Linked DNA regions of Sus scrofa. The protein of the gene in region 1 purifies or fractionates together with the protein of each later gene. This does not show direct contact. Links are inferred from orthologs where the notes say so. Each region holds a gene or a part of one and is shown on either strand. Other genes may lie near its edges.

Region 1 (3,645 bases):
TGCCCTGCGGGCCCACGAGCCGCAGCCACACGGACCGCGCGGACTCACGCTGCCTTTGGAGATGTAGTTGGAGTCCCGCATGATGTCACGGGCCAGGCCGAAGTCGCAGATCTTGACCAGCTTGCCCTCGCAGATGAGCACGTTCCTGGCCGCCAGGTCTCGGTGGACGCACTGGGGAGGAGGGAGACGGGGCTGAGCCTCGGGGTCCGTGGGGGGCAAAGACGCGTCCAGGGCTTCGGGGCTTCGGGCAGGACACAGGTGGCTCAGGTGGGAGCGGCCACGTGGTGCGAGGCAACGGGTTGACCTCACCCCCCGAGGGCCGCCCCACGGGGCTGTGCACTTGGGAGACCCTGGCCGGCTGCGCGAACCCCCCAGGACCCCACGCCGCTCGCGGTGACCGAACGTACGTTCTTGGAGGCCAGGAACTCCATGCCATTGGCCACCTGGTAGCTGAAGCCCACGAGATCCGTGTAGCTCAGCACCGGGGACTCGTTGATCAGAGTCGGCCGGCAGGTCCTCTCAGGAGCTACAGGCAAGAGCAGAAGGTCACCCGACAGGTCGCCGGCCATCGGCTGTGTCTCCCCGTGGCCCGCGGGACCCTGGTCTCTGGCCCGTGGAGGCTGAATGTCCAGGATTTTCAACTGTCTAACAACTTCCCAACGTCTGACTTCAGCCCTCCTACCACCTCAGAGCCCTCACGGCCTAGAAGAGCCTCTGCAATTCGCTCCGGGCCACCTCTGCTCTCGGGGCCCTGGACCGGCCCGGGGCCAGCTCTGAGCAGACCACGTCTCCCCGGAAGGCCAGGCGCGCTTCTCACCGTGCCATCTCCCCGCCCTGCAGCCCGGGCGCACCACGCCGGGCCCAGAAGCGGGGGTTCACACGGGGGCTCCATCACACAGCGGCTTTGGGCAGGCGGATGGCCTCTGCTTCCGCCTCTATTAAACGGGCACCGGACCGCCTCCCTGGCGGGTTGTTGTTGCCCAGCTGGGCAGAGGAAAGGCTGCGGAAAGGGGGCAGCCTGCACAGGCGTGAGGAGCCCGTGACACCCACCCGAGGGGACGCAGTTATCATAAGGAGCCATGTAGCCGGAGGGCTGGATGTCGGCGTACTTGACGTCCCCCCGCATGTCCAGCATGGGCACGTAGTCCACCGACTCGTCCTTGCTCATGTCCATGTAGCCGCCATCGCTCTCCCCGGGCAGGGCCACGTGGCTGGGGGCAGAGGGGCGTCACAGCAGGAGAGGCGCGGGCTCTCCCACTCCTGCCGCTCCTGCTGCTCGGCTCGGCCTCTCCCTCCTTCACGTACGGAGCCCCCACACCCGTGTGTCGCAAGGGGATGCCCATGTGACAAGCCCTTCCAGACAACCTCAGACCCACCCTGAGCTGGGCATGGAGGCTGCCAAGATGACACAGGACCCAGGGCGAGTCCGCAGAGCACTTGTGCCCAGGGCAGGCACGGCACCCCGGACAGGGCTCAAGGACCACCTGTGCCCAGGTGCTTTTCGGGGCCACTCCAGCCCCACCCAGCCAGGATGCCCTGCGCGTGGGCACGGACCGCCTTCGCGCCTCTGCCCGCAGGTCAGCTCCCCAGAGCGTGGCAGGGCTCCCTACACGGGTCCCTTCGGGGAGGAAGGACTGGGAGGAAAGCAGTCAAAACGGGGGAGGACACAAGCCAGTGTCTCTGCGTCCTTCGCGGCTGCCTCAAGTTCCTCTCGGCTCTGGAATGAACATGTGTGGCCTTTGTCATGAGCACGAGAAGGAAGAACTGTTATTTTTGGAAAAGAAGAAGATCGGGTGAGGTGCCCTGAGGCCCTGGAGAGGCTGGTGTGCGGAGCGGGTGGGGAGGCTGCACAAGGGAGGACAGTGCAGGAGCCGGTGTCAGCCTGGGACGGGGCCCCGGGTGCTCGGGCAGGGTCAGGGGTCGAGGAGCAGCACCAGGCCTGGCACAGTCAGCAGGTGGCAGCCGGTGCCACCATCCCCCTCCTCGGGGTGCACAAGGGCCAGGTCCCCAGCCGGCTGGCGACCCAGGGAAACCCGGCTGCAGGAGTGACTCTGCCCACCCCGGCCTCTGCCTCCCGCCCGGGCCGGGCCGCCCCCTCGGTACCTGGGCAGCGGGAGCCCGACGGGCAGGGCGTTGCTGTAGAGCTCGGCGCTGGGTGGCCGGCGCTTGTCGGAGCAGCGCTGCAGGAAGGTGTGCTTGTTGCGGTGCAGGAAGTCCACCAGGTCGCCGTAGCGGCAGTACTCGGTGATGATGTAGATGGGACCTGCGGAGGGACGGGCTCAGGGACAGGCCCAGGGACAGGCCCCGGAGCCCTCCGGTTTCCCATCACAGCCATCAGGCCAGCGGCAGGCTGCAGGCGGGACTGCAGGTGCGGCAGGCTCCAGGCAAAGCTGGGTTCTCTTCCTGACCAGGAACAAAGGTGCCCAGTCTCCCTGAGGCTTCCTCGCCCCACTTAATAGGTGCACCCTCCAAGAGGGGCACGGAAGTTTCAGGAGATGAGGCCTTGTCAGCTCAGCTCAGGGTTAGCTGTTTTCGACAACGTGGACTCAGGAGCCCAGGACATAAAGGCAACAAAGCCAACTGTTCATTGACAGGTCACTGTTTAAATTCAAGCACCACACATGGACTTAGAGGCCATCGGTGGCAGCTTGAAGATACTAGTGGAATCAAAAATTTTGAAATGTGTGATTATTGCAGACATAAACTGGCCCACGTACACAGCGTACTTCTGTATTCTGCTCTGGTTTCGCAATACTGAGGAAAATCCCAGATCTTGCAGTAAGCAGCTGCAAATGGTGATAACTTTTTTTTGTGTGTGTGGCCTAACTTGTAATCAGAGCTTCAAATAAAAACATCTGGCAGGGGGCGTTCCCTGGCTGTGCAGCGGGTGAAGGAGCCAGCATTGCTGCTGCAGCGGCTCGGGTCTCTTCTGTGGCGCAGGTTCAATCCCTGGCCCAGGAACTTGCCCATGCCGCTGGAGAGACCTCATTCCACGAGCTGCATGAAAGCAGCCCCCAGGGAGCATGCTGGGGGGGTCTCCGGGGTGGGGCTGCCGCTCATTTCAGGGTCGCATGAGCTGGTCCTTATCTCAGGCTTTAACATCATTACGAAATGTTTCCACGTCAGAGGCCTCCGTGATTTAGAAACCATTCGGGCCGGGGACCGGAGGAGCGCTCTGGCCGGGAAGGTGACGCGACTCTGTGACCGTCAGGCTCCGTGCGGCGACGGCACTGGACAGGATGGGCACGCCCTCTGGCTGGAGTGTCCTGGGGTCCAGGGACGGGGGGGGGGGCCTTTGGCCCCTGGCACTCTCCCAGAATCCCCTGGGGCGGGTACCTCCTTTAGTGCAGGCCCCCAGCAGGTTGACCACGTTCAGATGAGGCCCGAGATGACTCATGATCTTCAGCTCCGACATGAGGGCTTGCTTCTCACTGCTGCGCGCTGTGGCTGCGGGACAGAGGGGGGGCCTCAGGCCGGGGCCGTCGCCGAGGCCCGTGGAGGCCCCACCAAGGCCTCTGGCCCTTCTGCCCTGGTCTGCGCTGACCCACATACAGACCCAGGCAGCCACGGAGGCAAGATCCCCGCCCAGAAGAGGGGGGGGGGATGGGGGGAGGGGAGGAGGCCCCCAGAGGAGGAGAAATTTCC
Region 2 (3,645 bases), on another chromosome or scaffold:
CTTTCTATGGCTCATGTTTAAGAAGAGCTGGAAAAAAAAAAAAAAAAAAGATGTTGAAAAGATGGAGACTAAACTTGGCCCAGAGATCAGTGTCTGATATTCACACTTCACCCCTGCACACAATTTTTAACACAAGCTCTGGCATTGCAAATAAGAGCAAACTTTCAGAGCCCTCTGTAGCACCCCTGATACTAAAAATGAATTTCTTTAATTGTGGAGAGGAGCTAGAACTCCTGACACACGCTGTGTTTCACAAGGATCTGGGGGGCGAACTCCAGGTCATAGTGTGTTCTTGAAATGTTTTCATTAGTGAGGACTCAAAACTGCGCTTCCTGGGAAGAATGCCTGACCTACGGAGAAAGGCGGAAAAAAAGCCAGCAGGCAGCTCTACATCCCCCCCCCTCCAGAACAACCCTGCAGGTCACTGTGAGGTGGTGCCCAGGTCGCCCAACCTTTATTCATGTACTCGGTGACGATGTAGATGGGTTCCTCTGATACCACGGCATAGAGCTGGACCAGTTTGTCATGCTTCAACTTCTTCATGATCTGTGCCTCCTCGAGGAATGATTCTGGGGACATTGTGCCTGGTTTGAGAGTCTTTATGGCTACTTTTGTGTTTCCGTTCCAGGTACCTGCGGACATTCCATAATATGAAGTCAAATCAAAGAATCTCTCTTGAAGGGGAAAAAAAAATTCTTTTAATCCATAGTTCTTTGTTAGATTTTAAGTTTTAAAAAATTTAATATAGTTTCTGTTGAACAAAGACAATCAAATGTAAGGACTCTGTCAAGTATTTTCAACAGGAAAAATGTGTTTACTTATGGCTATACCATGGTTTATAATTCTTTAAAATTTTTTCTGTTTCCTTTTCTGGCTCAGTCATGTGATTATAAATTGGTATCAAAAAGTTCTGGATACTTTTTTCCCTTCCAGTTTTATTGAGATATAATATAGCACTGTATATGTTTTATGTATAAAGCATAATGATTTGAATTATATAGATCATGAAGTGATTTATATAGATCATTAGTTTAGTGGGAGTTCCCATTTTGGTTCAGGAAGTTAAAAACCTGATATAGTGTCCACGAGGATATGGGTTCAAACCCTGGCCTCGCTCATGGGTTAAGGATCCAGCATTGCCACAAACTGTGGCGTAGGTCACAGATGCTGCTGGGATCCAGTGTTGCTATGGCTGTGATGTAGGCTGGCAGCCGAACCCGTATGCTGCAGGTTCAGCTGTAAAAAGGTTTAGTGAAATCCATAATCTCATATAGATACAAAATTAAAGAAACAGAGTTAATTTTTTCTTCTGATGAGAACTCAGGATTTGCTCTCCAATCAATTTTCAATAACATATAGAAGTGTTAATTATATTTATCATGCTGTACATTAGTCCCCAGTACTTTCTGGATGTACCTTTTTTTTTTTTTTGGTCTTTTTTGTCTTTTTAGGGCCACACCTGAGGCAAATGGAGGTTCCCAGGCTAGGGCTCAAACTGGAGCTAGAGCCACTGGCCTATGTCACAGCCACAGCTATGTGGGATCCCAGCCACATCTGTGACCTACACCACAGCTTACGGCAACGCTGGATGTTAACCCACTGAGCAAGGGCAGGGATCGAACCTGCAACCTTATGGTTCCTGGTCGGATTCGTTAACCACTGCGCCACAACGGGAACTCCCGATGTATCTTTTTAAGGATGAACGTCCAGAGGTTAGAACAGGCCTGGTCATCCAGCTGCATCTCTTAAGGCAGCAGAATGAGCATGGAAGAAATCAGATTAAGTTCTACTTCATGGGGTGGGCCACTTAAAAGTATACAGTAACACACTGAGGATGTTTAGAAGTTACCTCTAGACTCTCAATTGTTAGCCATGGATGAGCTACTTGACTGAGTCCTTGAAAAGTTGAGCTGAGTGTGCTGATAAGCACTGGCAAGAAGTTCACTGTCTCCTTGCCAATACTTCAACCAGGAAAGGAAAATTCCTCAAGTTTACTGAGGGTCAGCCACAAGAACAATGACTTCGAAACAGCAGCTAAGAGGGAACAGAACTGTTTAAATTTCACGTGTTTGAAAAAAAAGTCTAGAAGGTTTAGAGGCAGCCTGGTTTATGATCACCATCATTTACCTCATCTGTAAAACACAGGAATGAAACTGGATTAGCTTTAGTTTCTTTTTGCCCCCAAATTTAAAATACCCACTTCATTCTATGTGTATCCATTATGAGTCTAATGGCTTTGAATTAAAACTGTCTACAGGGAAACAGAAAAAATCTGCTAAGTGAAATTATGATGTTTTCTCTTTGGAAAAGAAGGCTGGTTTAACTTAACTTTTATATTTTCCTATAATGGGTTTTACAACTAAAAAATTCTGTGAACTGGAGCAACTCTGTTACCTTGTTAAAAGCATGGTTCATATACCACAACATGCAACCTACGAAAACGTAAACTATCAAAGAATAAGGGGCTTAAAGAAGAGTTCGCTCCAATCTTATAATAATAAACTGACCACTAAATGTAAATGGGAAATGTGACAATTTGTATAGGGTCTGTGTGAGCAGTGTAGCACTAATGAAATTCAAGTAGAGCGAGATTTTCCTTTCGAGTAACAGCCTAGTTCCTTATGTGTTCCTTCCATCCTGACCCTGAACTACCCCAACATGATACTTTATGTTCAATGGGAAACAAAACCTTAATAGCATGTGTAATGACTTAAAGATGGTAATCTTAAAGTTTGAAAATAAATGTTCATATACAGTTTAATTTGTCCTAATTTTGTGAGTGACTGCATTAAAATCCTTAGGACCCACAACTTTAATTATAAATCAAGTGGATGACAGAGAGAAGGGCCATATAAACACATTTTACAATATGAGAGTTAAAGTCCAGAGAGAGACAGGCACAAAAATGTGGACTCTGAAAACAATTTTAATGATAATAACCATTATAACTGCTCTTGCATATACACATATACATACATGTGTATGTCTGAGTGTCTCTCTCTCTATGCAGCACTTACTAGTCTAAGTGCTTTAACTATATTACATTTTCTAATGCAGACCACACCTAAGCACCTATACCCACACAAATCAACAGGTACCAACCTCTATTATTTTTAATTGGATCTAAGAAAGGAAGAAGGAGGATTCCATCAGCATCCAAATTACCTTACTGATGGATGTTTCAGGGTGTTAGCGAAGCAGTGCAGGGCCAGTACAATTGGCAGTGTCAGTGATACAGCAACCAAACTGAGAGAAGTACGTGTGTCTACTGAGCACCTGCTGTATGCCAAGGGCTCTAACATACCGTCCCATGTAATCCTTACAACAATCCCATGAAGTAGGTCTTATTCCAGTTTTATAGATGAGGGCACTGAGGGTCAAAGAGATTTAATGAGCCCCTTGTTCATGGTTAATGAGCGAGGAAAGATTCAAACCCAGGCCATTGAGCAAAAAAGCTGGTGGTCTTTCCCTCCAGGAGCCCTGCTAGACAATCTTACCTTCTCGTGTCTTAGGAACAGCAAACACCGGGGTCCTACTGTGCTGGTTGCCTGTTCTGTGTGTGCCTTCACTAAGCACACAAGGGTATACAGGTGGCTGGTCTGTGCCCACCTAGCTATCTGGGTTTATGTGTCTTGGTCCCAATGG
Region 3 (4,425 bases), about 56 Mb from region 1:
AATGTATGAATCTAAAAGGGTAAATTACATATACTGGAATAAAAAAAAAGGTGAATGATTCCTCCAGTTATGTTTACATGTTCTAATATAAAAGACAGCACAAAAGCCATTGTCTGCACATATTAAGGGTGAAATTTTGGTTTATTGGTAATTCTTGAAACTATACATAATTGTAACCGACACTTTGGGACCTTCTTGACAATTGCCTGTTTAAAGTGCCTGTGTCTTCACGCCCTACTGTTAGGCACACAAACCAGGACAAAAGTGCGTTGATTACTGTTGTCTACAGCACTGCTCCTCTCCACACCTTACCAGTATCCAACAGACTTGCAATAGCACAGGCAGTGTGTCTGAAGACACATACAAACAATAGGGGGAAAGGATCGTGAAGAAAACAATGGTGTATGGTCGTAGAAATCTGGCTATTTCTACCAAAATTCTTAGCCCCCACACACGCCCCCTCCCTTATTCATTTCGTTTTGTCAGAACCTAGTTTAAAAAATTCACATTATTTTAGTTTGTAGTAGTGTTATAGTAATTTATATTATGCAAAGAAAATGAAAACACAAGCAGTACCGCCTAAGACCTTGGAAGCAGTCCGCCCCTCCAACCCCGACCCAGGCCGACCTCGGCCGTCTGGTTTCTGCGCCGCCACCAAGGGAGTTTGTTCTACCGGTCAGGAAGCAGGGAACTGGCTTCGCAGCATCTTCCTTTCCCTTTCCCCCGTCCCTCCGGTCCAACCCCTCCAGGTCTCATTTCGACTCTCCTTTTTTCACCTAGCTGAGCGGCCGCGTGCTCGCCGAGACCCACTCCTCCCCTCCTCCACCCCACCGGCCCAACAAACAAAGCCCAGGGAGGGAGGCGCACACCGACTGTAGAAAAGGCCGCGCCGCCACGCGTTACACCCGGAGCCGGACAGAGAGCGCGTCCGCGAACCGCGCGTCCCCGCCGCTTCCTTCCCTCCCGACTCTTCCTTTTCCTCCTCCAGGCCCAGCACCCCCCACCACCCCTGCACCGGGAAGGAGCCTGCGCAGAAGCTGCCCTCTCCCTCCTCCTCCCCTCGCCCCCCCGCCCTTCCTTCCCTCCGCTCCTCCTCCCTTGCCCCGCCTTCCTTTCTCTTGTCGATTTCTCCGAGCGCTCCAGGTTGGGAGCAATTCAGTTGATTTCCCCACTACCCCGCCCCCCTTCCTCTTTTCTCCCCACCCCTCCCATCTCAGCCCGGTGGAGGATGAAGCGGCTGCAGTGGCCCCAGCCCCAGCAGCGGCACCGGCGGTGGCTGCGGTGGGGGTGGCCGGAACTGGGGTGGTGAAGAAGCGGTGGTGGCGGCGGCGGCGGTGGCGGTGGCTGAAGGATCGGCAGCCGCCCCAGCCGCTTCCCCTGTGCTTCCCTTCCTCTTTAGTGCAGCCGGGAAGTTTTTCGCTTCTGTGCATGTGTGCGTGAGTGTGGGTGTGTAAGGTGAAGGTTTGGTCGGCGTTTGTGCAGGCGTTGGGTTTTTTGCCCACTTCTCTTCCCGTAACCCGGGTAGCTCCCGAGCCTGGGCTGTGGCCCGAAGAGGGGGCGCGGCGGCGGGCTCTCTCCTTTTGTTGTTGTTTCCTCCGCCTGTGGAGCTGAAGGGGGGACGCGCCTGGGTGGGGCGGCTCGGAGCCCGGGCCTGGTGGCCCCCGGGGCTCCCGGGCGAGTAGAGCAGGGCAGAGGAGAGCGGGCTTCAACATGATGGCGGCCGAGGCCGGCAGTGAGGAAGGCGGCCCGGTCACCGCCGGGGCAGCTGGAGGCGGCGCCGCCGCGGGCTCGAGTGCTTATCCGGCAGCGTGTCGGGTGAAGATACCCGCGGCCCTGCCTGTGGCAGCTGGCCCCTATTCTGGGCAGGCGGAAGCTGGAGTGGCCGGGACTCTGGGTGGAGGAGCCGCTCTGGGGTCATCGATCCTGGGACCTGGGTCTGTGGCTGGGGCACTGGCGGGAGCCGGACTGTCAGGGGGAGGTGCTGCTGCTGGCGTGGCTGGTGCTGCCGCTGCCGGACCCGGCGGGGAGATGGCTCTCACCAAGGGGACCACTTCGTTGTCTACTGAGACGTTCGGGGCAGGCGGTGGATTCCCTCCTCTGCCGCCACCTCCTCAGCTGCCCCCGTTGGGCGCAGGCCTGGGAACAGTGGACGAAGGTGACTCTCTGGATGGACCAGAATACGAGGAGGAAGAGGTGGCCATCCCGCTGACCGCTCCTCCAACTAACCAGTAAGTCAAGACCGCTGTTTTGGGGGAAGCTGGCTCGTGGAAAGAAGTGAGAAAACCTGCCTCGTTCCTGCAGCTGTGACTCGTTGTGAAAAGTTTTGAAGCTTAAGGTTCCGTGCGTAGGGATTTAATTTGATCACTCATCTTCCCTACAGGCACACTCCCTGGCGTCTTTGTATATTTATTGCTCCTCTGGGAAGATGTAAATTTTTAAATATGGGAAGCATGGGAAAGTGTAGATCCAGTGACAACCAGATAAGGTTCTGCCCCTTCCAAATTGAGGTGCCGTCCTGGGATTCAGCTGAGCTTGCAGATACCCAGGCGGTCCTTGTCCGTATTAACCCGGGTTAGATGATTAGTAAGAAGCTTTACAAGTATTTGAATGAGTATTGTACTAGTATCATTTGAGACATGCATTGGTCAGAATGCTTTGTTTTCGTTGCGCTGCAAATCGCAAGGCTTAATGATGGAGAAGTCTTTGGATCACTTTTGAGAGCCTGGGTCAGCGAGAAAAGAAGGGGGTTCTGTGAAGTATACGTGTGGTTAGGGGCCCATACTCTGCAATATCTGTAATTTATGTTGTAGAATTCCCATTTATGGATATTAGTGTAATTCTTTTATAGTTGAAACCTAAGTAGAATGTTGGAGCAAATCAAAATAGTGTGCTTCTCTTCAACAGTTTTTGTTGGTGGCCAATGCAGTATTCTATTTGAAAATTAATTTTGACAGTCTACAGCAGAATATATAGGAAGTGACTCTTCCGTATGTAGTACCTCCACCTTGTTCTCTTCATAGGTATGTATAGGTGGACCTTGATGAGAGGAAAATGTTGATGGGGAAGTGCTAATAGTAGGCAAAACTTGTTTTATAGGTCCCTCATATCTGTCTTAATTGACCTTTAGAATTTTGACAACTTGGTGAGTATCAGAGGAAAAAAGATTTGGTTCCTATGTTGACAAACACTCTGTACAGTTGAAAGTTTTTGTTTGCTTTTTGGAAAAGCTTCTTTGGAAGATTTAGAAAGGGCTCAATGAATTAGGACTTTTCAGACTTTAAGCTACATCTTTTGATGGAAAAGTAAAGTTAGTGCTATTTATGACAGCGGTGGTATGGGGTTGTTATATTCCTTTTAATATTGTTCATTTTGAGTTCAGTTTTTTTGGTCTGATTTTATTCCAGCTTTATGTATTGCAGACTTTTTTGAAGGTGTTCTGAGAGTGTTAAAAATTTAAATTACAGCATTGTTTTTACACCTTTAAGACTTTTTGGAAAATCACTTAGATATTAAGGGCCCTGTGGTTATGATAATGTACAACTTTTCATAATAAAAGAGTATATAGTCTTTTGGCATTTCCTAAGTTGAATTAGGCATATTTAGTTTATTGCAGTTCTAAATCCTTTAAATACAGAATTTATTTTGTAGAGCAATTTTAGATTCACAGCAAAATTGAGCAGAAAATGCATTTTTCCCATTAACTTTTTTAATAATAAACATGAATGAGTGCATAGGAAAAAATATGTTTGTAAGAAGTCTCGTGAGATTTTCATCATATTATATGTATTTAGAAATAAAAATATTATTTGTATAGTTATGTATATGAGAATTGTTCATGTTCTAAAAAAGTATCCTCCATTTCTAGTATGTTTCTTAAATTTGCCACTGAGAAGTACAAATTTCCCTTTTTTCTTTATCTTAGATATCAACCCAGAGTCTCTGGAGGCAATACAGTGTAGTGGTTAAGCGTGCAAATTCTGAAGTTAGACAAGATTTGGGTTGGAATCCTGACTCTGCTACTTACTAACTGTGTGATCTTGGAAAGGTCAGTTGCCCCATCTGTAAAATGGGGATAATAATGGTATCTCCCTCAAATGGTCGTTTTTTAAGGTTAATGAGAACCCCCTGAACATATTCAGCACAGTACCTGGCACATTGTAAGTGTTGAGTAAATTAATAGTCTCCTAAAATAACAGTATAATTTTATTGTCATTGATTGCCTACTAGTTCTGTTGGTATAGGAACTCCCTTATTAATGGCTCTTTTAGAGAATGTTTTGAACTCCAAAGGCCTGTCTACTATGATTAATTATGTTAAAATTTTTATTTTAACTTCATAAAGCCTTCCAGCAGGTTAAGCAGGTTTAGAGATGAAATTCAAGTGTTTCCTATAAATTCTTATTTTAAATAAAAGGAAAAGCCTAAA

Evidence for each region.
Region 2: the proteins of PDGFRB (region 1) and FYN purify together in Homo sapiens (pull-down; 3 studies listed by IntAct, with this or other methods). This does not show direct contact. The link is inferred for Sus scrofa from reciprocal best matches to the Homo sapiens genes PDGFRB and FYN.
Region 3: the proteins of PDGFRB (region 1) and RASA1 purify together in Homo sapiens (co-immunoprecipitation; 5 studies listed by BioGRID and IntAct, with this or other methods). This does not show direct contact. The link is inferred for Sus scrofa from reciprocal best matches to the Homo sapiens genes PDGFRB and RASA1.

Annotation. Positions count from the first base shown.
Region 1 is NC_010444.4:151,161,788-151,165,432, forward strand, and holds part of PDGFRB (platelet-derived growth factor receptor beta), read right to left. Parts: intron 3,448-3,645; coding exon 3,337-3,447; intron 2,264-3,336; coding exon 2,104-2,263; intron 1,212-2,103; coding exon 1,051-1,211; intron 527-1,050; coding exon 408-526; intron 172-407; coding exon 49-171; intron 1-48. UniProt on the Homo sapiens protein: Tyrosine-protein kinase that acts as a cell-surface receptor for homodimeric PDGFB and PDGFD and for heterodimers formed by PDGFA and PDGFB, and plays an essential role in the regulation of embryonic development, cell proliferation, survival, differentiation, chemotaxis and migration.
Region 2 is NC_010443.5:77,618,209-77,621,853, forward strand, and holds part of FYN (tyrosine-protein kinase Fyn), read right to left. Parts: intron 633-3,645; coding exon 453-632; intron 1-452. UniProt on the Homo sapiens protein: Non-receptor tyrosine-protein kinase that plays a role in many biological processes including regulation of cell growth and survival, cell adhesion, integrin-mediated signaling, cytoskeletal remodeling, cell motility, immune response and axon guidance.
Region 3 is NC_010444.4:94,878,003-94,882,427, forward strand, and holds the start of RASA1 (ras GTPase-activating protein 1), read left to right. Parts: upstream 1-1,612; 5' UTR 1,613-1,710; coding exon 1,711-2,228; intron 2,229-4,051; exon of another isoform or gene 4,052-4,425. UniProt on the Homo sapiens protein: Inhibitory regulator of the Ras-cyclic AMP pathway. Stimulates the GTPase of normal but not oncogenic Ras p21; this stimulation may be further increased in the presence of NCK1.